3 linked regions of the Callithrix jacchus genome follow. The protein of the gene in region 1 interacts with the protein of each later gene in a biochemical or structural test. Links are inferred from orthologs where the notes say so. Each region holds a gene or a part of one and is shown in the gene's direction. Other genes may lie near its edges.

The links. The genes of interacting proteins can lie anywhere in the genome.
Region 2: the proteins of NPPB (region 1) and NPR2 form a complex in vitro, tested with the Homo sapiens proteins (3 studies listed by BioGRID). The link is inferred for Callithrix jacchus from reciprocal best matches to the Homo sapiens genes NPPB and NPR2.
Region 3: the proteins of NPPB (region 1) and NPR1 form a complex in vitro, tested with the Homo sapiens proteins (2 studies listed by BioGRID). The link is inferred for Callithrix jacchus from reciprocal best matches to the Homo sapiens genes NPPB and NPR1.

The regions. Positions count from the first base shown.
Region 1 is NC_133508.1:49,738,679-49,746,281, reverse strand, and holds NPPB (natriuretic peptides B), read left to right. Parts: upstream 1-3,378; 5' UTR 3,379-3,467; coding exon 3,468-3,599; intron 3,600-3,824; coding exon 3,825-4,080; intron 4,081-4,623; coding exon 4,624-4,637; 3' UTR 4,638-4,844; downstream 4,845-7,603.
Region 2 is NC_133502.1:142,690,596-142,698,913, forward strand, and holds the start of NPR2 (atrial natriuretic peptide receptor 2), read left to right. Parts: upstream 1-3,233; 5' UTR 3,234-4,065; coding exon 4,066-4,732; intron 4,733-5,548; coding exon 5,549-5,754; intron 5,755-8,318. UniProt on the Homo sapiens protein: Receptor for the C-type natriuretic peptide NPPC/CNP hormone. Has guanylate cyclase activity upon binding of its ligand. May play a role in the regulation of skeletal growth.
Region 3 is NC_133519.1:14,100,162-14,108,411, forward strand, and holds the start of NPR1 (atrial natriuretic peptide receptor 1), read left to right. Parts: upstream 1-3,165; 5' UTR 3,166-3,586; coding exon 3,587-4,307; intron 4,308-4,943; coding exon 4,944-5,143; intron 5,144-5,660; coding exon 5,661-5,774; intron 5,775-6,330; coding exon 6,331-6,466; intron 6,467-7,441; coding exon 7,442-7,533; intron 7,534-8,250. UniProt on the Homo sapiens protein: Receptor for the atrial natriuretic peptide NPPA/ANP and the brain natriuretic peptide NPPB/BNP which are potent vasoactive hormones playing a key role in cardiovascular homeostasis.

The DNA.
Region 1 (7,603 bases):
ACTCCTGCTGTGCTCACAGGGCAACCAGGACTCACTGCTGCTGTATCTGTCACTCACTGTGTCAGCCTGGGGAGCCTGTGATGTGCCTACCTTTCCCCCTGCACTGTAAGCTTCTCAAGAGCAGGGACTTTCTTGTCCTTTATGCATCCCCAGCTTCCAGCAGAAATATTAAATTTTCACCTGTGCAGTCTCATTTTATGCTCACAACAACCCTGAGGTAGAGAAATGAGAAAACAAGGAGAGACAGGAAACAACTTGCCCAAGAACACAGAGGTAGCAAGAAATTGATGTGAAATGGAGCCCCAGACTCTGACTTCAGTCTTGGCTGTGGACTACTTTGACCCCAGGCTCTTGATGAAAGTTTGTTGAATGACTTAAGGGTCTTATTTTTTTTCTCTATGGCTAGATTAAGCACTTAGGGTTGGACACTGGTGGGGAACAAATTCTACTACCACAACAACATTTACTGAAGGCTTACCATGGGCTGGACCCTATGCCTGGCATTTGACATATACTATATTAATTTCCCATTGCTGCTGAAACAAAGTCGCACAAGCTTGTTGGCTTAAAAGAACATGATTTTCTTTTCTTCTAATTGCAGACATTAGAAATCTGAAATCTGTTTCACTGGACTAAAACTGAGGTGTTAGCAGGCCCATGTTCCTTCCAGAAGCTCTAGGGAAAAATCCATTTATTTGCCCTTTCCAGCTCCTAGAGGGTGACTATATTCCTTGGCTTGCAGCCCCTTCCTCTATCTTCAAAACCAGCAGTGTAGCTTCTTCCTTCCTCTCTGACCTCTATTTCCACCTAACATTTTTTCCCTCTGACCTTGATCCTCTGGCCTCCCTCTTATAAGGACCCTTGTGATGACATTGAGCCCTCCTGAATAATCCAGGAGAATCTCTCTACCTTGAGATCCTTAACATGACCACACCTGGGAAGTCCTTTTACCATGTACAGTAACATATTCGCAGGTTCTGGGGATTAGGATGTGGACATCTTTTGGGGACTATTATTCACCTTACCAATGAAATCATCAAGTTTAATCCTTGCACATTAATGCTGTGACAGAGGTGGTATGATTAGCTTCATTGAAGAGACATGGAAAACACATAGCACATGTCAGGACCTCTGTAGTGTTGATGGGGCTGATCTGGTGTGAGAGTTGATTGACAACTTGTCTCCTCCCGGGACAGCAGGCCTTGGAGGATTTGTCTAGTCCTATGCCTTCCCTCAAGTCTTCTTCCACAATTCCCTCCACTGGGGTTATATAGAAACTCTGTCAGAGTGTACAACACTTAAACATTTAATTGTCCCACCTGGGGTCACTGTGTCTCCCCAATGAGATCACAATCTCCTTCAGTATAAAGACCAACTCTCATGTATTCTTGATTATTTGGCCCTTTCTGCAGTGCTACGGGCTTTTGCAGAAATTATGTTCTTCCTTTTGGTCCTCGCAAGGACTGTCCATTTTGCTGAAGAGCAAAGTGAGACTCCAGCGAGATGCAGAGTCAGTTTTTGATGGTGCTGGTTGATGAATCCTGCCTTGCTCCCAACCCTTTATATGAGGGGTTCTCTGCAGCCTCACACTCACTGACTCAGCTCTGCACTTGGATGAATTTTCTTACCCCTTTGACTTCCTCTTAGCCTTTTGAGACTCTCCCTGTGGTATGCCCATGCATACACACACACACACACACACACACACACACACACAACTACCCCAGCCCCCAGAACATTTCCAGCACTGGTGTCTTTACACAGCCCTTACCCACCCACCCCCATTTTCATTTCATCTTCAAAATCTCATCTGAGCCACTTCCCATCCTTTCTCCTGCACATACAGTCACCAGACTTGCACATCCCCCACAGCACAGCTCTCAGAGCCTTCACAGATGACCGGGGATTCATCTAAGCTTGCTTTTTGTAGAAACACCTTGTGATCACTCTGGCAGAGATTATAAGCTTCAGGTCTGGAATCAGACTGCCTGGGGTTGGAATCCGGGCTTTATCATGTGCCAGTTGGGTGACTTTTAGAAAGTAGATGTATTCATGAGCGCCATTTTCTGGTCTGAAATGAGGAATATAATGATACTTTTCTCACTTGAGGGGCAGATGCTACTTTTTAGGCAAGATTTGCTTGGAGGTCCCAGTTTCTTATTGCTGTCCTTCTCTGCCATAACCATCTCTCCTCCTAGACAGCGCCACTCCTCCACCCTGCTACTTGTTGGCACAGATTCTCTGGAAGGGGAGTAACATTGGTCATATATGCTTTAGGTGGGTATTTAAGCTGCTGTGATTTTTCCCAGGACCATTTCTCTTCAGAGTCTCATTTCAAATCACAGACAGGAGGCCCAGATCACCTGCTAATGAGAATTAGTTCATGGGTGATCAGATGAAGAAGGCATTGGGGCAGGGAAGCTCTGAATATCTCTGGTGTCCCAGCAAACAGATAACCATCTTTCCAGCCATCCTTCTGTTTCTATCCAGTGTTGGCTTGGTCGGGGAGAGGAGGTGTTGACACCTGAAAGAGACACATATGAGGCATTCCTGGATCACTTCATCATTACTGGGTCCTGTCTCTCAAAATTCCAGTGAAATCTGCTCTTCCCTTTCAGGGGTGAAAGAAGGGTCAGCATTCCAGAAGTTCCTGGTCATACCCAGGCTTTTAATGCATTGCCATTCGGGAATCAGCGTCCCGTTGCTGTAAAGGTTATGGGATGGGGGGTTGTGAGATCATAGGGAAGGGTCTTAGAGGTCTCTTGTTCCTGCTCCATTCAGATCTTTCTGGCCTGGAAATTCGGTTGAAGAGAGCAGCTCTTGAGAGTTTGCACAGAGCACCCTCGGGACTATCAGCACCACGGACAGCGGCCAGGGCGCCCCGGGGACCAGCAGCGGCGAGCAGGTGCTGCGCTACGTGCGGGCCAGGGAACTCTTGAGGGGAGGGGAGACGCGCCGTGGGTGGCGGGGTGTTGGCCCGGGCTGTTTTCGCTCTGAGTCACCCTGTGAGCCCCGCGCTCACGTCTGGCCTCGGAACGCCGGGGTTCTCCCTGCCTTTTCCAGCCACGGTGGGGTGTGGAGGCAAGACGAAAGCGCCAACCTAGGACACCTGGACTTTTGCAGGAAAGGAAGAAGCGTGAGGCTGGGACTTGTCAGTGTCTCCAGGGCGCTCCCGCCCCCGGCCCGGCCTGGCCCACTTCTATACAAGGCCTGCTCTGCCGGATCTCCACCTCCCGCGTGGCAGGCGCAGAGGGGCGCATTCCCGGGCCCTGATCTCAGCGGCCAGGAATGTGGCTGATAAATCAGAGATAACCCTGCAGGGCAGGGCCAGCCGGACAATCAGCTCCAGGATAAAAGTCCACAGTGTCCCGAGGAGCCAGGAGGAGCCACGAGGAGCAGGCTGAGGGTAGGTGGGAAGCAAACTCAGACGCATCGCAGCAGCAGCCTCTGCCAGTCCCTCCAGAGATATGGATCTCCAGACAGCATCTTCCCGGGTGCTCCTGCTCCTGCTCTTCTTGCACCTGGCTCTCCCTGGAGGTCATTCCCACCCGTTGGGTAGCCCCACTTTGCCCTCGGACTTGGAAACGTCCAGGTTACAGGTGAGAGCAGAGGGCAACTCAGGGAGATTGGACAGCAGCAGTGAAAGGGTCCCCACCTGCTGTCCCAAGAGACCCTCACCGTCCCTTTGGAATTAGTGATAAAGGAATCAGAAAATGGAGAGACTGGGTGCCAGGACCCAAGGCAGTCAGTTCACTTGGGTGCCATGAAGGGCTGGTGAGCCCAGGGGTGGGACCCTGAGTCTTGGACTCCCCCATCCATTGCAGGAGCAGCAAGGCCATTTGCAGGACAAACTCTCAGAGCTGCAGGCAGAGCAGACATCCCTGGAGCCTCTCCAGAAGAGCCCTCATCCCACAGCTGTCTGGAAGGCCCGTGAGGTAGCCACGGAGGGCATCTTTGGGCTCCGCAAACTGGTTCTCTCCACCCTGCGGGGACCACGAAGCCTCAAGCCAATGCGAGACACTGGCTGCTTTGGGCGAAGGATGGACCGGATCAGCTTCTCCAGTGGCCTGGGCTGTAAAAGTGAGCACCCCCTTGCCATCTCTCCCGCCTGCCCCCATTCCAGTGTGTGATGCTGTTAGAGTCACTTCAGGGTTTGTTGTCTCTAGGCACCACACTCTTTGAGAAAAGGACACCTGGACATCACTTCCTCTTGTTAACAGCCTGCAGGGCCAAGGGTTGTCTTTGTGGAGTTAGTAAATGTGGGCCTCATTCATTAATATGCCTGCAATACCTTCTCCCCACCTCCTACCTCTCTTATCAAAGGGGCAGAATCTCCCTTGGGGTCTGTTTATCATTTGGCAGCCTCTCAGTGGTGCAGAAAAAGAACCAAACATTTCCTCCTGGTTTCCTCTAAACTGTCTATAGTCTCAAAGGCAGAGAGCAGGATCACCAGAGTGATGATAATCCCCGATTTACAGATGAGGAAACTGAGGCTCAGAGAGTTGGATTAAGCCTCAAACGTCTGATGACTAAAAAGCGTGGCGGGTGGCACACAGTGAGGGAAGCTCAGCCCCTGCCTCCTTTTCTCACCCTAACCATCATCACTTTCTCTTTCCTTGGCAGGGCTGAGGTGGTAGTAAGAGGAAGTCCTGGCTGCAGCTACTGGCTTCTGATTCCACAAAGGGCTCTTTCCTCAACCCTGCAACCACCTTTGAAGTGACTCCTATTTATTTTTATGTATTTATGTATTTATTTGATTGTTTTATATAAGATGGTTTCTTAACTTTGAGCACAAAATTTCCATGGTGAAATAAAGTCAACATCATAAGCTTTATCTTTTGAAACTGACTTGTCTCTGTGCATTACAACGAATCCCTCATTTCAAAGAAACCAACCAAACAAAAACCACAAAGCCCTGTGATCTCAAGGCATGTTCATGGTCGGATGGGGACACGGCCCCGGGAGTAGCAGGCTTTCTTTTCTTTCAGGGTTTTTAATGCTCTGAAATGTTCATATATATTGCAAACACTTGAGGCACTTGGGAGAAATGGCTTTTCAAAGCAGGACAGTTTCTTCCTGGGTGTGCAATGGCCCTGATGTATTTGAGCAACCTGAGGGCAGGTGCCCAGCCATTTTCTCCACTCTTTTTTGCTCTTCCTGGAATCCCACCATTAAAGCACTTACCCTGGGGATTATTGTTTTCGTGTCTCAGCTAAAATGTCAGTGATTGGGGGCAGTGTGTGCGTGTGTCTCTGTGTGTGGCTTATCTGCATTCCTCTATGGGGGTGAGCCCTCCATCCTGCCCCAAATCTCAGCTTTAAACTCCAATTCCTGGTGTCATCCTGCAAAGGAGCCTTCAAAACTCCAACCCACAAAGTGAGAGGGTCTGGCGATTGGCCCAGCTTTCCAGGGTGCTCCTCCCCAGGGCTGTATCAGTTCTTCTCTTTGCCTTAACCAGTGGGGGGCAATCTCCTCTTATGGGTCCTCTTCCCACACACCCTGCAATCCAGGCTTCCCACAGTGCTGAGTTCCTCTGCTTTCAGATTCCTGGGAAGGGTCTCATGCCATTCCCTTTCTCACAATGCCATTTATAATTCCAGCTCAGCTGAGGGGTAAGGCACCATGAGGTCCACTATTATTATGCCCATTTTCCAAATGGGAAAACAAAGACCCAGGAAAAGCAAGCATCCTACCCAAGAGCACACAGCCACTAAGCGCTGGTGCTGGGGACTGAGCAGAGATCCAGGTGACTCTTGAGCCTGTGCTCTCTGACTCTTCAGCCCCACACTCCTGGCCTCGAATTTCACTCTCAAGTCCTTTCTGATGTTCTCATTGGATGTTTCTTTGAATGAAAGGGAACTAGAGGGTGGGTTTTTGTGTTATTTATCATTTTAACTCAGGGTGCAACTGAGGATTTATGAATAGCTAATGACACAAATTAAGATTGTTTAGACCAGGCGTGGTGGTTCCTGCCTGTAATCCCAGCACTTTGGGAGGCTCAGGCCAGTGGATCACCTGAGGTCAGGAGTTCGAGTCCAGCCTCCTGAACATGGTGAAACCCTGTCTCTACTAAAAATACAAAAATTAGCTGGGCGTGGTGCTGTGTGCCTGTAATCCCAGCTACTCGAGTGGCTGAAGCAAGAGAATCAGTTGAACCTGGGAGGCAGAGCTTGCAGTGAGCTGAGATTATGCCATTGCACTCCAGCCTGTGTGATAAGAGTGAAAATCCATCATCTCAAAAAAAAAATTGTTCAAAAATGAGGTTTTAGGCTAAACACAGTGGCTCACACTATAATCCCAGCACTTTGGGAGGTCGAGGCGGAAGGATGGCTTGAACCCGGGAGTTCAAGACCAGTCTGGGCAACATAGTGGGACCCCATATCTTCAAAAAACGAAAACGAAAAAAATTATCTGGGTGTGGTGGTGCATATCTGTGGTCCCAGGTACTCAGGATGCTGAGGTGGGAGGATCGCTTAAGCCTGGAAGCAGGGAGGCTGCAGTGAGCTGTGATTGTACCACTGTAATCCAGCTTGGGTGACAGAGGGAGATCCTGTATCGGAAAACAAACAAAAAAGAGAATAAAATAAATAAAAGTGAGGTTTTAGGGGCAGCTTATTTTTTCACCAACTGTGAGTCATGTCTAATTTTTCACCAACTGTGAGTCATGTCTAACGACCCAGGGAAAGCAATGAATAATTAGAATAGTTAATATTCATAAAGTCCTCATTCATGTACCAGGCATAGTCAGATAGTCCTTACAAAAACTCCTTTTTTTTTTTTGAAACAGGTCACACTCTGTCACCCAGGCTGAAGTGCAGTGGTGCAATCTTGGCTCACTGCAACCTTTGACTCCTGGTTCAAGCGATTCTCCCACCTCAACTTCTGGAGTAGCTGGGAGTAAAGGTGTGTAACACGCCCAGCTAAGTTTTGTATTTTTCGTAGAGATGGGGTTTCACCATATTGGCCAGGCTGGTCTCGAACTCCTGGCCTCAAGTGATCAGCCTGCCTTGGCCTCCCAAAGTGCTGGGATTATAGGTGTGTGCCACCGTGCCCGGCCTCTTGTTATTTTAATCTTTCTAGAAAGTTGTGTCGGTGAATGCAGATCAAGGAGATTTAGTCCCTGGCTTCAGAGATGGAAGAAGTTTCAACAGAGCATGAACTGGCTTTTTCAGGTCTCTAGCACTGAGGTCACAGACATCAGGACCACGTTGGGCCTGAATGCTTCATCTCATGTCAGTGATTTTGCACCTGGGACAGTCTCAAGGAACGCTGAGCCCTTCTCCCTCCCTCTTATGGCTGCTTTGACCCTTCTGAGAATGATTTATGGCAAGGAAAAAAACTGCATTTCTCTTCCTGCAGAGCTGGGTCTAAACCAAGTCATGAACTTGGTCATTTGTCCTCGTTCATGTTGTAGTTCTCAGCCTCTCTCTAGGATTTTTCATCTACTGCCTTAGCTTAAATAATCAATCTTATTCCACCAAGTGATCCATTTCTCCCTTGGATCTGGAGCCTGCCGTGTACAGCTCCTCAGAGCGTTTCTAGAACCAAGCTCAGCATCTGCCCTCGGATGCTGGCCCCCACTCTCCTGCCTCTAGCTCCCCCG
Region 2 (8,318 bases), on another chromosome or scaffold:
GGAGGTTGTAGTGAGCCGAGATTGTGTCACTGCATTCCAGCCTGGGTAACGAAAAAATAAATAAGGTGTTGGCTGACTCTATCCAGAAGAAATTATAGCTGGTATCTGTCTGTGGAGTAGAAGGCCATGACAATACTACGAAGAGAAAGTTGGACCTAGCTGGTTGCTGCTTGGGCCAGTAGAATCTAGATTTCCCAGGCTCCTATGTATTGCAGCAGGATCACCAAATACAGCCAGAATATTATTGTCCACATCAATGAGAACAATGAGAGCATGAAAAGCTGGATATATACATAACCAAAGGTCTCATTTATCTAATATTTTCAGCTTCCCCCAAACATGAAAAAATAAACACCAAAAACCTGGGTGTTAATAAAATACCTCATTTGAGGATTAACTTTTATATCCCCACTCTTTCCCACTTCCTTTTTATCTTTTAAATTTTATTTTTAGTTTTTACTTTATTTTGTTGTTGTTGTTTTTTGAGATGGAGTCTCGCTTTGTTGTGCAGTGGCATGATCTCTGTCCACTGCAACCTCCACCTCCGGATTCAAGCAATTCTCCTGCCTCAGCCTCCCAAGTTGGAATTATAGGTGTCCACCACCACAACCCTAATTTTTATATTTTTAATAGAGACAAAGTTTCACCATGTTGGCCAGGCTGGTCTCGAAGTCCTGACCTCAAATGAGCTGGCTGCCTTGGCCTCTCAAAGTACTGGGATTACAGGTGTGAGCCACCATGCCTGGCCTTACTTGCTTATATTTTATGAAGGTAGGGTCTCACTATGTTGCCCAGGCTGTTCTCAAACTCCTTTGCTTCTCCCACCTTGGCCTTCCAAAGTGCTGGGATTACAGGCATGAGCCACTGCACCAGGGTCTACCCAAGCTGGAGTGCAGTGTCATGATCATGACTTATGGCAGACTCTGTCCTCCGGGCTTAAGTGATCCCCCCCCCCCATCTCAGCCTCCCAAGTAACTGGGACCACAGGTTTGTGTCACCATGTCCAATTGATTTGTTTGATTTTTAAATAGAGAATACAGGCATTACAGACATTCGTCCTACCTGGGCACGGCAGAAAAAGGAAGAGCCAAAAGAAGAACGATGAGACAACATGAGAAAGACTTTAGCCACTGTGCCTGGCCCCTTCCTACTTTCTAGTTAAGTGGCCAATTGGAAGGAAGAGGGAAAGGCAAGATGCTTGAATGTTTAATCCCTAACATAATGAAGAATTGTCCTCAGTGTTCAGAATAATGACACATCGTGTACTTGTACTTGCTTAGGAGCCTGTGTGACAGTGGTAGTAGTGGTGGCTGATCCTCACTGAGGGCTGCAGGTGTTCCAGAGAGACTCACATGGGTCTTTGGTAGCTATTATACTGTAAGCACAGCTTTCTACAGTAAGTTCCATGAGTCAGCAAAATATCTGTAAAAAGCCTCTCCTTGGAGACCATGAAACCTGCATTTTCATCTCTCTTTTGCAACTAAAAAACCATGTGGGGTTGGGGAAGAGGAGCAAGTAAGGATACTGCAAACTTCCTCTCTGGGATTTGGTTTTCAAGTATCTTTAAATGAGAAGGATACATGATATATTTATATGATTCCTCCTAGGCCTGTCATACTATAATTCTTTCAGGGATTTTGCCATTTTCGATTTGCTTATCTCATAAAACTGTGTTGTTGCTTAAAACCCAACTATTCTATTTGGTTGACTTGGTCTAAAGTTTTTCTCATGTTGTCTCATCATTCTTTTGACTCTTCCTTTTTCTGCTTTGCCCAGATAGGACGAAATTCCTTTTCACTACAGTATTGGGAGCCTGGAACTAGAGTTATCACCCCTTGCGTTAAAGAAGGATCTGTCTGAAGGCTTCCATCTCTACTCTCCTTGAGGCAAGAGACATTGTCAGGGGCGGCTTGCCCTTGGCCTCTGTGCCCCAGGGATTGCAAATGTATGTTCCTCAAAGGTAAGGACTGCATCATTCGGCTATCTTTGTATTCACGGGTACAGCTTGTGCTAGGCAGCCAGTGTTCAATAAATATCGTGCCTAAGGGTAAAGTGGCATTGTCCTTAATTTCCCCCCCAAACCACTAGGTGTCGCCTTCATCTCAGAGAAACCAGGCCTGTCCCCACCCTACACTCACACCCCACTCCAGGGCTCCAGGAGCGCTCTTAGCTTGTGATTTCAGGAGAAATAGCGCGAAGGTGAAGAGAGACCGTGGCTCTCAGCACGGGAAGAGATTGGGCTTACATGCATGTCCTTTATGACAGTTGGAGAAAAATCCCCAAGGTCCCATAGAAGCCCCTCTCAGCCACCATGAGATCATCCCTCACAAGCTGTTCCTGGGGTCAGATTGGCACTCCAGATATGGGCCTCCCCCCTCCCCCCGCCCCCGGGGAGAGCTTCCTAAGGCTGAAAGGCTGGGAGCAAGGTGGAACCCCAGGAGTGGGTGGATGGGCTTCCATTGCGGGGAGTGTCCGCTGGTCCGTTACAGGCTTTCACCAGGCGCCAGCTTGCGCTGTGCAGGAGACAAAAGAAAATCGAGGCCCTGACTGAGCAGATGGTGTGGAGGAAGCCGGGCGGGCTGCGGTGGGCCTCTGAGGACACCGGGAGGGAAGGGGGCATGGAGACAGCGGGGGCCAAGGGTGGAGTTCCCAGCCACAAGGAGCTTCGTGGACTTCCTAAGGATTGGTGGGAAGTGTAGCGCGGGGACCCCTGGCCGCTGGGGGACCCCTGGCCGCTGGAGGGCCCGTCCAGGGAGCGGGCATGGCCCCGGGTGGAGTGAGTGGCTCTGCCGTCGGGAGGGTGATATGGTTTGCTAGGCGGGCGCCTGGTGAGGACACCACACGTCTGGGGATCCTCGACAGCTCCCTGGAGACTAGAGCCCCTGAGGGACTCAGGGAGTGGAGAGGAGACCTAAGAAGAGCGGGCTAAGCGAGAATAAGAGGACAAGCCCTGGGGTTGCCGGCCTGTGTGAGATGGAAGTGGAGCGGCGGGGGTACCAGGGGCTTGAGGGAGACCCGGGTAGGCCCTGAGGGTGAGGGAGCGCCCGGGAACCCCGCCGGCCGGCGACGCCCTGGTGCGGAGCCCCAAGTGCTTACCGGGGTGGGTTTGGGACCTAGCGGTCCCGGGCGCCCGGGAGAGGGGGGGTGGAGGAAGGCAGCCGGCGCCGGAGGGTGGGGCCGGGAGGGAGGAGGAGGGGCGGCGGGGGAGGGGCGGGGGCGGGCGGCCTGCCCGCGGGAGTCGCACTCGGCCGCCGGCGCAGCTAGCGGAGACGGGCCGGGCCGAGGCGACCTGACCCGGACGAGCGGCGCGCGCGGGGCCCAGGCGGGGGGCGGGAGGAAGCGCGAGGCAGCGCCGGCCGCCAGGGCCCAGGAGAAGCGGAGCAGAGAGGAGCGGGGACACGGGCGGGGCCGCCGTGGCTCCGGATGGGACCAGCGCCCGGGCCCGTTAGTCCCAGCAGGAGCTTCGGGAGAAGCCTTCACAGGGAGATTTACCCCTGCCTTCCCCTGCCCTCCGGCCCAGGCCTCGCTTCTCTCCCCGCCTGCCCATGATCCCAGTCCTTCCGCGGCGCGGGCACCCTCCCACCTTACCCTCTTGGTCCTATGTGTCGCAGCGCCTTCCTGCCCTCCTGGCCCCTTCAGCTGTGAGGTTCCCCCAGGCCGTTTCCTTGTACCAGCCGCCCCCCACCCCCACCCCATCCCAGTCCCAGATCCCCTTTTCCTTCTCAGCTTTGGTTCATCAGGCTACTTTGCCTCGCAGTGTCCCCATCCCAGGCGCAGTCCCCCTCGGTGACTCCTTCCCCCTGCCACCCCACTGTCAGTCCTCAGTCCTTGCCCGAGGCTGGTAGCCCACTCGTTGCCCGCCCCCGCCCCCCCTTCCCGCCTTCCTCCCATCTCTCCTTCCTCTCTCTGGCCCCCTGTACCTTCTGCATTCCAGCCTACCTAGCCCACCCCTCCTTCTCTTCCTGGCCCTCTTCCCCAGGCTCCAGGCTGGGTGGTGCTCGCGTCTCCCCTGTAGGCCAGAGCAGCCCCAAGTTCTGGGGGCGGTGGGGCTGCTGCTTTATCCCCATGGCGCTGCCATCACTCCTGCTGTTGGTGGCAGCCCTGGCAGGTGGGGTGCGTCCTCCCGGGGCGCGGAACCTGACGCTGGCGGTGGTGCTGCCAGAACACAACCTGAGCTATGCCTGGGCCTGGCCACGGGTGGGTCCCGCTGTGGCACTAGCTGTGGAGGCGCTGGGCCGGGCACTGCCCGTGGACCTGCGGTTTGTCAGCTCCGAACTGGAAGGCGCCTGCTCTGAGTACCTGGCACCGCTGCGCGCTGTGGACCTCAAGCTGTACCATGACCCTGACCTGCTGTTAGGCCCGGGTTGCGTTTATCCTGCTGCCTCTGTGGCCCGCTTTGCCTCCCATTGGCGCCTTCCCCTGCTGACTGCGGGTGCTGTGGCCTCTGGTTTTGCAGCTAAGAATGAGCATTATCGTACCCTGGTTCGCACTGGCCCCTCTGCTCCCAAGCTGGGTGAGTTTGTAGTGACACTACATGGGCACTTCAATTGGACTGCTCGTGCCGCCTTGCTGTATCTGGATGCTCGCACAGATGACCGGCCTCACTACTTCACCATCGAGGGCGTCTTTGAGGCCCTGCAGGGCAGCAACCTCAGTGTGCAGCACCAGGTGTATGCCCGAGAGCCAGGGGGCCCTGAGCAGGCCACCCACTTCATCCGGGCCAACGGGCGCAGTGAGTGTGGCCCGGGCTATTTTAGGGTCAGGGGAGGGTTGCTGTGTCCCTAAAGCTCAGCACTGAGGAATTGTAGATGGAGATAGGCACTGAGCAGCTGTTTGTGGTGGTTGGGATCAAGAAGCACATGTGGACAGAGCACCTGTGAGAGGGTTAAGTCTTCATGACGGGCACTTGTGAACACCCTAGGCAGATGCAAACTAGGAAGACAGAGCATGAGGTATGAAGCTCCTATCAGGGAGGAATTTGAAAGTGGGGGGATATTGAGTTTGGGGAACAATGTGAGTACCCTAGAGTAGTGAATGTGATCGATGGCCCCTCTGAAATGTTCACCTGTCTGTGATCAGAGCTACCACCCAGACTGGGTTCCATGACCCCTCGGTGGTGTAAAAATAATGAGGACTCCATGAATGGGCTCAGGGAATGGGCAGATTTGGGAAAGACAGGTAAAGCTCATACTAAGAAATCTGTGCTATTAGCGCCTTTGAGCCCAGGGAAGGGCAGGGGAGAGTCAGGGAGTTAGGTGGCCTGGGTAGGGAGCAGCAAGGGAGGCTCTGGGAAAGGGAGGGGCTTGAGAGTGACAGTTCCCTTCCTCTGGGGTCTGGACAGGCTCTGACTTCTGTCAGATGGTCCATATGGCCCCAGGGTACTTATGGTGGACTCCAAGGGGGTGGGCTGGGGAGCATCTGCTTGGGAGTTAATAGGTTAGGGAACTCTTTTTTTTGCTGAAGAGGGACATCCCAGTGATTCAGAAGGGGGTGTGGGGGGACCTGGATACTTTCTCAGGGTGCTCCTCTGTCATGTACCTGCTCCCAGTTGTGTATATCTGCGGCCCTCTGGAGATGCTGCATGAGATCCTGCTTCAGGCCCAGAGGGAGAATCTGACCAATGGGGATTATGTCTTCTTTTACCTGGATGTCTTTGGGGAGAGTCTCCGTGCAGGCCCCACACGTGCTACAGGCCAGCCCTGGCAGGACAATCGCACCCAGGAACAGGCTGAGGCCCTCAGAGAGGCCTTTCAGGTATCATTTGAGCGAAATCTGAAGGAGGAGGGGGATGAGGTGATTTGTTGGAAATTCTCTCTCTCACAAGACCCCACAGAAACCCTAGGAACTGGGCAGGAGTAAAATGTGAGCCACAGGAGTAAAATGAACAGAGGCATTCTGAGTCTAGTGTCACCCTTTCTTTCTTCTTTACTTTTGTGACTCAGAGTGTGTTTGCTGCCAAGACCTACTTTGGCTGCCTCCAAAATCCTAAAACACTGACTTTCCTAAGTGCCAGTAGAAGGCTGTTCTGTGGGGGAGAAAAGTTCAGGAAAGATCTGTTCCTAGCCCTTTGGTGGACTTCCACACTTTATGGAGAGGTGAGGCATCATTCTGGTACAGTCAGACAAAGTTTGAGAAAGGATATGATTATGTGTCCTGGGACAGCATAAACTTTAGTGGCTCAGAAGAGTCAATGTGGGTTGTGTTTAGGGAAGGCTTTTATACAGGAAATGAGACCCTATTGTGACTTTACTGATAGAAGTCATATTCATAAAGTAGGAGAGGAGATCCAGGCTGCCTGAGCAAAGAGAAAAAGATAGGAATGGGTGTGTTTGGGAGACCATGGGAGACCAAGAAGATACCCAAGAAGATACCCAACAAGAACAAAGGGTTCACTTAAAGGAGATACAGTTGCAAAGGTATCTTAAAGGAAATAAAGTTGCAAAGGTATAATCAGATTAAAGAGTTATAAGTCTTAAGGCACTAGGATTTGAATTTGGGGTGCTTTACATTTTTTTTTGTGGAGATAAATATACAATAGCGACAGAATTCAGGATTATAAGAGCGGGAGACTTGGGGCAGTGAGACCATCAGTAACAGGTTAGAAAAGGGGTGAGGTGATGTGGCTTGAACTAGTATGGTGATAGCAGGATGGAGAGAAATGCATTTCAGATTTCAGAAAATTTGCAGGGAATGTTGGCATGACTCTGTTCATTTCACTCCTCTCAAAACTTTCAGTGACTTGTGTTCTAGAGAATAAAATCCTGACTCCTTATTGTGACATTTAAGACCTTCTGCAGTCTGTTCACAAACCACTTTTTCAGTCTTACCTCCTAGTGCCCTCATGCTGAGAACTGCAGCCCACCTGGCCTCTCTTCCCCTGTGCCTTTATGTTCTTTTTCTTTCTGTCTGGAATGCTCTTCCTTCCCTCACCCCAAATCTCTGCCTCTCAAAAATCATACCGATGGATCTTCCCCTGATTCCTCTGCCACTTTTTTGCTAACTGTGTATATAAATGTTTCTCATGTATTTATCCATATCCCTCCTTTTTTCCAAGAAGGATTGGAGGTGGCTTATGGGATAACCTTAAGGTCCTTTAAACTCTGGGATTATTTGATTCTAAGTAGATGTGTGTAAGGACTGGACCTGGGTGGCCATTCTTCTCCAGTGAGTAAGGTTTTATGTAGCTGTAATTATACGGTTGTGTCTGACGAGTGTGTGTCTGTGAATGACATAGCTGTTTGCATGCCTGAGAATGAGTCTGTGACTGTCACACTTGAATATGGGCAGCAGCAGGACAGGTTTTGTTTATGCTATAATGTTGTCCTAAAACAATCTTCTCATCTTTGTCTGGGTAATGCGTCCATATTCTTTAAGACTCATACCACTTATTTTCCTTTCTAGGAAATGATCCCAGAATCCCTAAGTAGGAATTTCCTACTCTTTTGCTTAACTCCGTCTACCATAGAAATAACCATATTATTTAGTCAGTGTTTGATTTATTTGAAGGCTGACTAATTTCATTAGTATTTACTGAGCACCTATCATGTCCAGTCACTGTGCTAGGTACTGGTATACAAGGGAGAGCATAACAGATTTAGTTCCTGCCTTTTTGGGGTTTACATTTAGTAGGATAGGTAGACAATAAACAAGTAAGAAAATAAATGCAAATGTAGGAACATATTGTGATGTGTTACTAAAACATAAAAAGGAAAGGAATAGAGTACTCTGGAAAGAGAGGAACGAGGAGATTGTATTTCAGCTGGTGTGGACTTGGGAAGATCTGTGGCCCTCCCAGATGGGAGCACTCCATAGGTTTCCTGGTTATATCCTTTTTCTTTTTGAGACAGCTCTGTTGCCCAGGTTGGAGTCGAGTGGTATGATCACAGCTGCTCGCTGCAGTCATGACCTCCCGGGCTGAAGCAATCCTCTCACCTTGGTCTCCAAGTTGCTGGGACTACAGGCATATGCCACCATGCCCAGCTAATTTTTTTTATTTTTTGTGAGATGGGGTCCTGTTGTGGACCCAGGCTGGTCTTGAACTCCCAGGTCAAATGATCTTCTTGTCTTGGCCTCTCAGAGTGCTGGGATTACAGGCGTGAGCCACTGTGCCTGGCTGGCTGTATTCTACTTATGGAAGAAAAGCCTCTTTTTCTTCTGTGAGAATTCCTGCCCAGCCAAGGGTCCCCAGCATTAAGTGTAGGGAGAGGAGGGATCGAGTCATCCAATAATCAGTTATATCAATTAACTCTCAGTTCTCCCCCTCACTGTAGGCATTATTCAGACAGAGAAATAAAGAGGGAGACTTTGCTGCAACACAA
Region 3 (8,250 bases), on another chromosome or scaffold:
GATCCACCCGCCTCAGCCTCCCAAAGTACTGTGATTACAGGCTTGAGCCACTGCACCTCGCCCAGTTCTTTGATTTTTAAAAAAGCATTTCAGCCGGGCCCGGTGGCTCACACCTGTAATCCCAGCACTTTGGGAGGCCGAGGCAGGTGGATCACGAGGTCAAGAGATCGAGACCATCCTGGTCAACATGGTGAAACCCCGTCTCTACTAAAAATACAAAAAATTAGCTGGGCATGGTGGTGCATGCCTGTAATCCCAGCTATTCAGGAGGCTGAGGCAGGAGAATTGCCTGAACCCAGGAGGCGGAGGTTGCAGTGAGCCGAGATTGCGCCATTGCACTCCAGCCTGGGTAACAAGAGCGAAACTCCATCTCAAAAAAAAAAGCACAACTATTTCTAGTCCAGTCATTTCTTCTGAGCTCCAGTTCCACTAGTCTGAGGCCTATCAGACATTTTCACTTGAGTGTCTACAGGCACTTCACAGCCAATAAACTATAAGTATCATCCTTCCAAAACCTCCTCCTTCAGCTTCTCAACTAATGGAGTCCACGTCGCCTAGACCTGTTATTTGTATAATGTCTTCACTTCCCAAAGTTCAACTGATTCTATTTACAAAGCATCTCCTCATCTCCATCTGCTGTCTACCTCTATAATCTCTGGAACCTGCCATCTCTATTATAGGACAAGGACATTATGCCTGTCACACAAAAGCTTTCATTATCTTCCCTCCACTGCCCTCTCCCCTGACTCTCTTCCTCAGTCATCCTACATGCACACACCTTACAACCTGGATCAGGGCTGAAAACACAAACTCCTACCTACAAAGCCAGGCAGGTAATGCACCTAAGTGAAGCAGGGTGCCTAGGAACCATGATGAACTAGACTCATTTCAAGGAGATAATGGATACTTGTTCTGGCTGATTGCTCCTGGAGGGATGCAGGACCTATACTGCCAGTTCTTCCAATATTTTCAGAAAAGTCAGAAATCCAGGTTGGGCCTGACGGCTCACACTTGTTATCTCAGAACTTTGGGAGGCAGATGCAGGAGGATCGTTTGAGCCTAGGAGTTTGAGACCAGCCTGGGCAACATAGGGAGACCTCCATCTTAAAAAAAAAAAAAAAAAAATCATAAATCCAAATATTCATGTGGCATCTTATGATTTTTAAGTGTGGACAATTAAATATATGTAGAGAGAATGCAAATCAAACAAAGCATGCCTATCATCTCAAGTTGGCCTATCGACCACAATTTGCTCTGGATGGTAAGAGTATTCTTCCAATGCAAGATACCGGAAAAACAAAAAAATAAAAAATAATTAAAAAAAAAAAAAGAATATTCAAGTCTCAGCCAGGTGCAGTGGCTTACACCTGTAATCTCAACACTTTGGGAGGCTGAAGTGGGTGGCTCACCGGAGATCAGGAGTTCGAAATCAGCCTGACCAACACAGTGAAAACCGGTCTCTACTAAAAATGCAAAATTAGCCAGGCATGTGCCTGTATTCCCAGGAGGCTGAGGCAGGAGAACTGCTTGACCCCCAGGAGACCAAGGTTGCAGTGAGCTGAGATTGGGCCACTGAACTCCAGCCTGGACAACAAGAGCAAAACTCCCATCTCAAAAAAAAGAGAAAAGAGGGCCGGGCGCAGTGGCTCATGCCTATAATCCCAGCAATTTGGGAGGCCGAGGCAGGTGGATCATGAGGTCAAGAGATCGAGACCATCCTGGTCAACATGGTGAAACCCCGTCTCTACTAAAAATACAAAAATTAACTGGGCATGGTGGCGTGCACCTGTAGTCCCAGCTACTCGGGAGGCTGAGGCAGGAGAATTGCTTGAGCCCAGGAGGCAGAGGTTGTGGTGATTCAAGATCGTGCCATTGCACTCCAGCCTGGGTAACAAGAGCAAAACTCCGTCTCAAAAAAAAGAATATTCAAGTCTCCTAAAATTCCATACATAGGCAATATACTTCAACATTCTGCTCTGTCTACACAGAATACCTTTCTCATCCTTCTGTCCTCGTTGAATTATTTCTCTTTGGAGATTTTCCGGCCCCAATCCAAGCAGAATGAATAGCCCTCATCTGAGTCGTTTAGCAATTTATCCATGTCTCCCATGCATGTTGCATTACGGTTATTTGTTCCAAACAGAGCTCTTCAAAGGCACGAACTATATATAGATTCATCTTTATGCCCTCGGCACCTAGTGGGTGCTTGTGATTGACAGCACAGAAGGTTATCTGGAAATGTTTGCTGACCAGAAGTTTGCTGATCTTATGTCCTACTTAGGCGCAGCCTTGGAGAGGTTGGCGCTGCAGTGCCGTCAGTGACTTCTGATGACCATTAGAGGGCACACTGATTCCACAGCAGTCTGGACCGGGGCACCAGCTGTCAAGTGCCCCAAAACCCACTCCCCAATTTAGGCCTCCAATGATTATTTCCAACATCATCTCCTACAGCCTTCATTTTAACAACCCTCAACACAAAACAGTCATTTCTGGGGGAGGCCCTGAAGTATGAAACTATTCTCTCCCAGTCACCCACCCGCTCTCCTCAGCTTCCTAAAATTTGAGCCCTAAAGATTTAATTCTGCCCTGACACGAGCTCATTTTTTCACGGCGAATCTGCACAATCTGGAAGATGGCAGTCAGGGAAAGAGATCGGGATCATAGAAGGGCTGGGTAACAAGCACTCTGGGCTCGCCTTCAACTTTCACGGCCCTTTCCAGAAACCCGGCACCTTGCACCGACTCCCAAACACACACATCCACGCACTCACAGTTTCCTGCCGGGATCCCAAACCAGCACATCTTTCCCTCTTCCTCGGAGAAAACCAGATAGGAGGCGAGCGAAAAGGTGGGGCGCAAATGGGCCCCGGCTGCTTCCACACACACGCTCCGTTCAGCTCTACCTTCCATCCCGGCGAGGGCGCACCTTCAGAGGGTCCTGTCCGAGGAGGAAGGCATGGGCAGCCGAGACCTGGGAAGAGGATCCACCGGGAAGCGCACGGGCTGGACGGCGGGAAGGAAGGAGTTAAAGATCCAGGATTGGCTCTTCTGTCACTGAGTCTGGGAGGGGAAGCGGCCGGGAGGGAGGGTTCGGAGCTTGGCTCGGGTCCTCCACGGTTCCCTCCGGACAGCCGGAGACTTGGGCCGGCCGGACGCCCCTTCTGGCACATTCCCCGAGGCAGGCGCGCACGCACGCTACAAACACACACTCTCCTCTTCCCTCCCTCGCGGGCCTTCTCCCATCCTTCTCCACGGAGCGCTCTCTCTCTCTTTCTCTCTCTCTCTCTCACACACACACACACGCACGCACAAGCCCAGTTGTTCACACTCGGGTCCTCTGGCCTGACGTTCTCCTGGCACCCACCTGCTCCGCGGCGCCCTGCGCGTCCCCCTCCATCGCGCCCCTCGCGCTCTCCGCCCAGACCGTCGTAGCTACAGGGGGCCTCGTACCCCGGGGTGAGCGCCCCTGTCCCGCTCATAATTCTTCCCATAGGGACGCGCCTGATGCCTGGGACCAGCCGCTGAGCCGTAGGGGACGGAGGAGGCCATGGTGGGAGCGCTCGCCCGCTGCGGTGCCCGCTGAGGCCATGCCGGGGCCCCGGCGTCCCGCCGGCTCCCGCCTGCGCCTGCTCCTGCTCCTGCTGCTGCCGCCGCTGCTGCTGCTACTCCGGGGCAGCCGCGCGGGAAACCTGACGATAGCCGTGGTACTGCCTCTGGCCAACACCTCGTACCCGTGGTCGTGGGCGCGCGTGGGACCCGCCGTGGAGCTGGCCCTGGCCCGGGTGAAGGCGCGCCCCGACTTGCTGCCAGGCTGGACGGTCCGCACGGTGCTGGGCAGCAGCGAGAACGCGCTGGGCGTCTGCTCTGACACCGCCGCGCCCCTGGCCGCGGTGGACCTCAAGTGGGAGCACAACCCCGCGGTGTTCCTGGGCCCGGGCTGCGTGTACGCCGCCGCCCCGGTAGGGCGCTTCACCGCGCACTGGCGGGTGCCGCTGCTGACCGCCGGCGCCCCGGCGCTGGGCTTCGGTGTCAAGGACGAGTACGCGCTGACCACCCGCGCGGGGCCCAGCTACGCAAAGCTGGGCGACTTCGTGGCGGCGCTGCACCGACGGCTGGGCTGGGAGCGCCAGGCGCTCATGCTCTACGCCTACCGGCCGGGTGACGACGAGCACTGCTTCTTCCTCGTGGAGGGGCTGTTTATGCGTGTCCGCGACCGCCTCAATATCACGGTGGACCACCTGGAGTTCGCCGAGAACGACCTCGGCCACTACACCAGGCTGCTGCGGACCGTGCCGCGCAAAGGCCGAGGTGAGACGCGGGCGCACCGGGTCCCGCAGCTCCGCCGCAGGGCTTCCCCTCTGACTTCCACTCTCGTCTCTCGTCCGGGCCACTCTTCTTTCTCCTCCCCGGTCTTCATTCCCCTCTCAGCTCCTAGGCCCTTTCTGCTGCGGAGTTTTCTATTTCCCTCTCTTTTTAGCCACCCTGCACCGCGCCTCTATACTCTCACCTCCCCGACCCCCACTCACTCCCTCCAACCCTGGCAAAGCTCAGTTCCGGTCCCTTTTTATCTCCCGCATTTTCTCGCTTCCCTATAGCCTTCTCCCCACCTTCATCCTCTCTTCCCGTCGCTCCTCAAAGTCCTCTCCGCACCGCCCCCCGCCCTCGCTCCTGTCGCCCTCCTGGCCCCACCCTTCTCTACCTTCAGCTCCACTATTCCCCTCTCCATATCTGTCCCTTCCTCTCTTCCGCCCCCCACATCGCCTTCGACCCTTCGTCTTTCTCCTGCCCTGCCGTGGTCTAGGCTGAGCCGGGTTGCCACTTAACTCTCACCGGGCTTCTCCTGCCCCCCATCTCTAACCTCCTCCCCTCGGTGCCTCCGCTTTCCTAGCCCTGTCTCTCCCACAGTACCTAGGCTTCTCTCTCTGAATACTCCTTTTTCTGCAGTTATCTACATCTGCAGCTCGCCTGATGCCTTCAGAGCCCTTATGCTTCTGGCCCTGGAAGCTGGCTTGAGTGGGGAGGACTACGTTTTCTTTCACCTGGATATCTTTGGGCAAAGCCTGCAAGGTGGACAGGGCCCTGTTCCCCGCAGGCCCTGGGAGAGAGGAGATGGGCAGGATGTCAGTGCCCGCCAAGCCTTTCAGGTGAGTACCTAGGTTTGAGGTGAGTACCTAGGTTTGAAGTTAGTACCTAGGTTTGAAGCTCAGGCCATCTCAGCTTGTGGCACGTCATTTCTGGGCACTGTGTCCCTCAGTGTCTGAAAGAATTCCAGAAAAAAAAGGTTTGGTCTGTTTGTTTCTTCATGCACTCATGGTAACTCACAGAACAGAAAAGTGGTTGGTGATGCTCTCTGGGAATTAGGCAGTGAAAGGCAGGGGACTAGCCGGGGCGCTTGAGCACCAGCAGGCTAAAAAGAAGAAAATGGGCTTTAGAGGGGAGGAGGTTAAAGTCCCACTGTCTGGACAGGACTTGGAGAAGCCATCCCTTTGGATTCCCTGCTTTGGAATGGGCATCACTTCATGCGGGGAATAGGGTTCAGTTTGACCTTGAGCTAAGCGGAGACCCAGCTCTGGGAGGTGGGCTCTAACTGTTGGGGCCCCATGGTACTGCGGGGATAGAGTCAGCTCCCAACTCTCTGCTCTCTGCCGACCGCTTCCTCAGGCTGTCAAAATCATTACATATAAAGAACCAGATAATCCCGAGTACTTGGAATTCCTGAAGCAGCTAAAACACCTGGCCCGGGAGCAGTTCAACTTCACCATGGAGGACGGCCTGGTAAGAAGAGGTACCGGGACCCTACAGCGTGGACCTTCAGCCCCCACTCCACGACCCTCTGCCAGCCTCCATTCCCTCTTCCCAGTTCTCCCCTTCCTTCCCTTCCCATTGTTCCATGTCTCTCCCGACTTATCCCTCTGGGATGTGAATCCCAAGACTGGTGCCTTCAGGGTAAGTTCGTGCATCCGGAAGACAGGGCCAACTCCAAGGCATCATCAGTGCCTCCTCCTGATGATGAAGGAGGACACTGGCAAGTTCAGCCTCTGAAACTCAGGTTACCATCCATAATACAGAGATGATACATCCCGCCCTGTGTGCCTAGTGTGATTCAGGAAGCGATGCTAATCCAAAGGCATCATTTAAATAGTAAAATCTAAATAGTCTGTTGGTACCAACAACAAAAATAAATAAATAGTAAAATCTCCCAGTGATGTAGGGGTGTTATTTTCTCCTATCCTCTTCCAAACTCCCAGTGCCTCTCATTCCCTTCCCCACAGCCCCCAACTCCATGCCCTTCATTCACCTCACCCCAGCCAACCTCTGCTTGCCCCCACAGGTGAACACCATCCCAGCGTCCTTCCATGATGGGCTGCTGCTCTATGTCCAGGCAGTGACGGAGACTCTGGCACATGGAGGAACTGTCACTGATGGGGAGAACATCACTCAGCGGATGTGGAACCGAAGCTTTCAAGGTCAGGGCCTTGAGGTGGCTGGAATGGGCAGCCTTGGGGGATGAATCCCAGGTGCCCACTGTCGTGAGAAGTCTGTAGCACAGAGTCACCAGTGCACACCAGCCTTTTCCTCCACAGCTTTTTCTCAGGCGCATCCCTCCAGAAGTCCTACTGAGTGTCCAACCTCAATCATCCCTGCTGGGCACTGGATCCTTTTATTTTATTTTATTTTTGAGATGGAGTCTCGTTCTGTTCCCAAGGCTGGAATGCAGTGGCTAGATCTCAGCTCACTGCAACCTCCAACTCCCAGGTTCAAGCGATTCTCCTGCCTCAGCCTCCTGAGTAGTTGGGATTACAGGTGTCCGCCACCACACCTGGCTAATTTTTTGTATTTTTGGGGGATGGGCATCACTTCTTGCAGAGCATAGGGTCCTGTTTGACCTTGAGCTAAGCAGAGACCTAGCTCTGGGAGGTGGGCTCCTGACTGTTGGGGCCCCACAGTACTGCGGGCATAGAGTCAGCTCCCAATTCTCCGCTCTCCACTGACCCCTTCCTCAGGCTGCCAAAATCATTACATATAAAGAGCCAGAGGTTCTGGGACCCTCCAGCGTGGAACTTGAGCCCCCACTCCACGATCCTCTGCCAGCTTCCATCCTTCCCAATTCCCAGTTATCACCCTCCCTCCCTTCCCATTGTTCCATGTCTTTCCTGATGATGGAGGAGGACACTGGCAGGTTTTTTTAGTTGAGACAGGGTTTCATGTTGGCAGGCTAGTCTCAAACTTCTGACCTCAGGTGATTCGCTTGCCTCAGCCTCCCAAAACGCTGAGATTACAGGCATGAGCCACAGTGCCCGGCCCTTTTACCATTTACTGTCATTCTGTATGCATGTATGTTTGGAAGGCAAGGCAAAAAAGATGAGAGGATGAAGAGATGAAGTGGGATACCGCTGAACTTCCATTCTCTCCCACACAGTCATCTTCCCCTGTGTCCTCAGGTGTGACAGGACACCTGAAAATTGATAGCAGTGGTGATCGGGAAACAGACTTCTCCCTCTGGGATATGGATCCCGAGACTGGTGCCTTCAGGGTAAGTTTGTGCACCCAGAAGACAGTGCCAACTCCAAATGGCATCTCACCCTCCTACTTCCCCCCACAGCCTTACCAGGGCACCTTTTATCCTGTAGCCACTCTACCGTGCCTGGACACTTACGAGAGCCCTGAATAAGACAGACCCAGCTCCAGTCTGGGAAAGCCACCAGAACGATAGGGACCCACAGGCATCACACTTGGGGAGCCCCATGCCTGAGGAGAGAGCACAACCCTGGCCTCAGAGAGCTCCGAAGGGAAGCAGGCAGGACCGCCTCCCAGCAGAGGCAGGGTCACAAAGGATGCACATTACACACCTCTACAAGTGAGTGAGGACAGGAAGCCACTGAGACCGATGGCAGCAAGGGACAGGTCATCCAGAGAAGGTTTCCTGGAAGAGGGGCACATGGATTGGGCCTGGGGATGTAGGCTGAGGTGAACACGGCCTTATTCTGTTTTCTACCAAGAAAATAGGTAGAGAAAAATCAATGCTTGGTTGGTGCCTCAACCAAGATTATAAACTCCCTGAGTGTAGACATTGGGTTCTATATGGAGTTTTCTTTGTAAAAATTCTTGATAGTTGTCAGGTGTTTCCACTTGAATAATACGTGTGTGGTATGAGGTCCAGTATCCAGTTGCAGCAGGGGCTTGGTAAACAGGTGACAACCCAGACATATATAAGCTCTGGAAGCAGAGCTGGGGTAGGTAGGAGGTGACA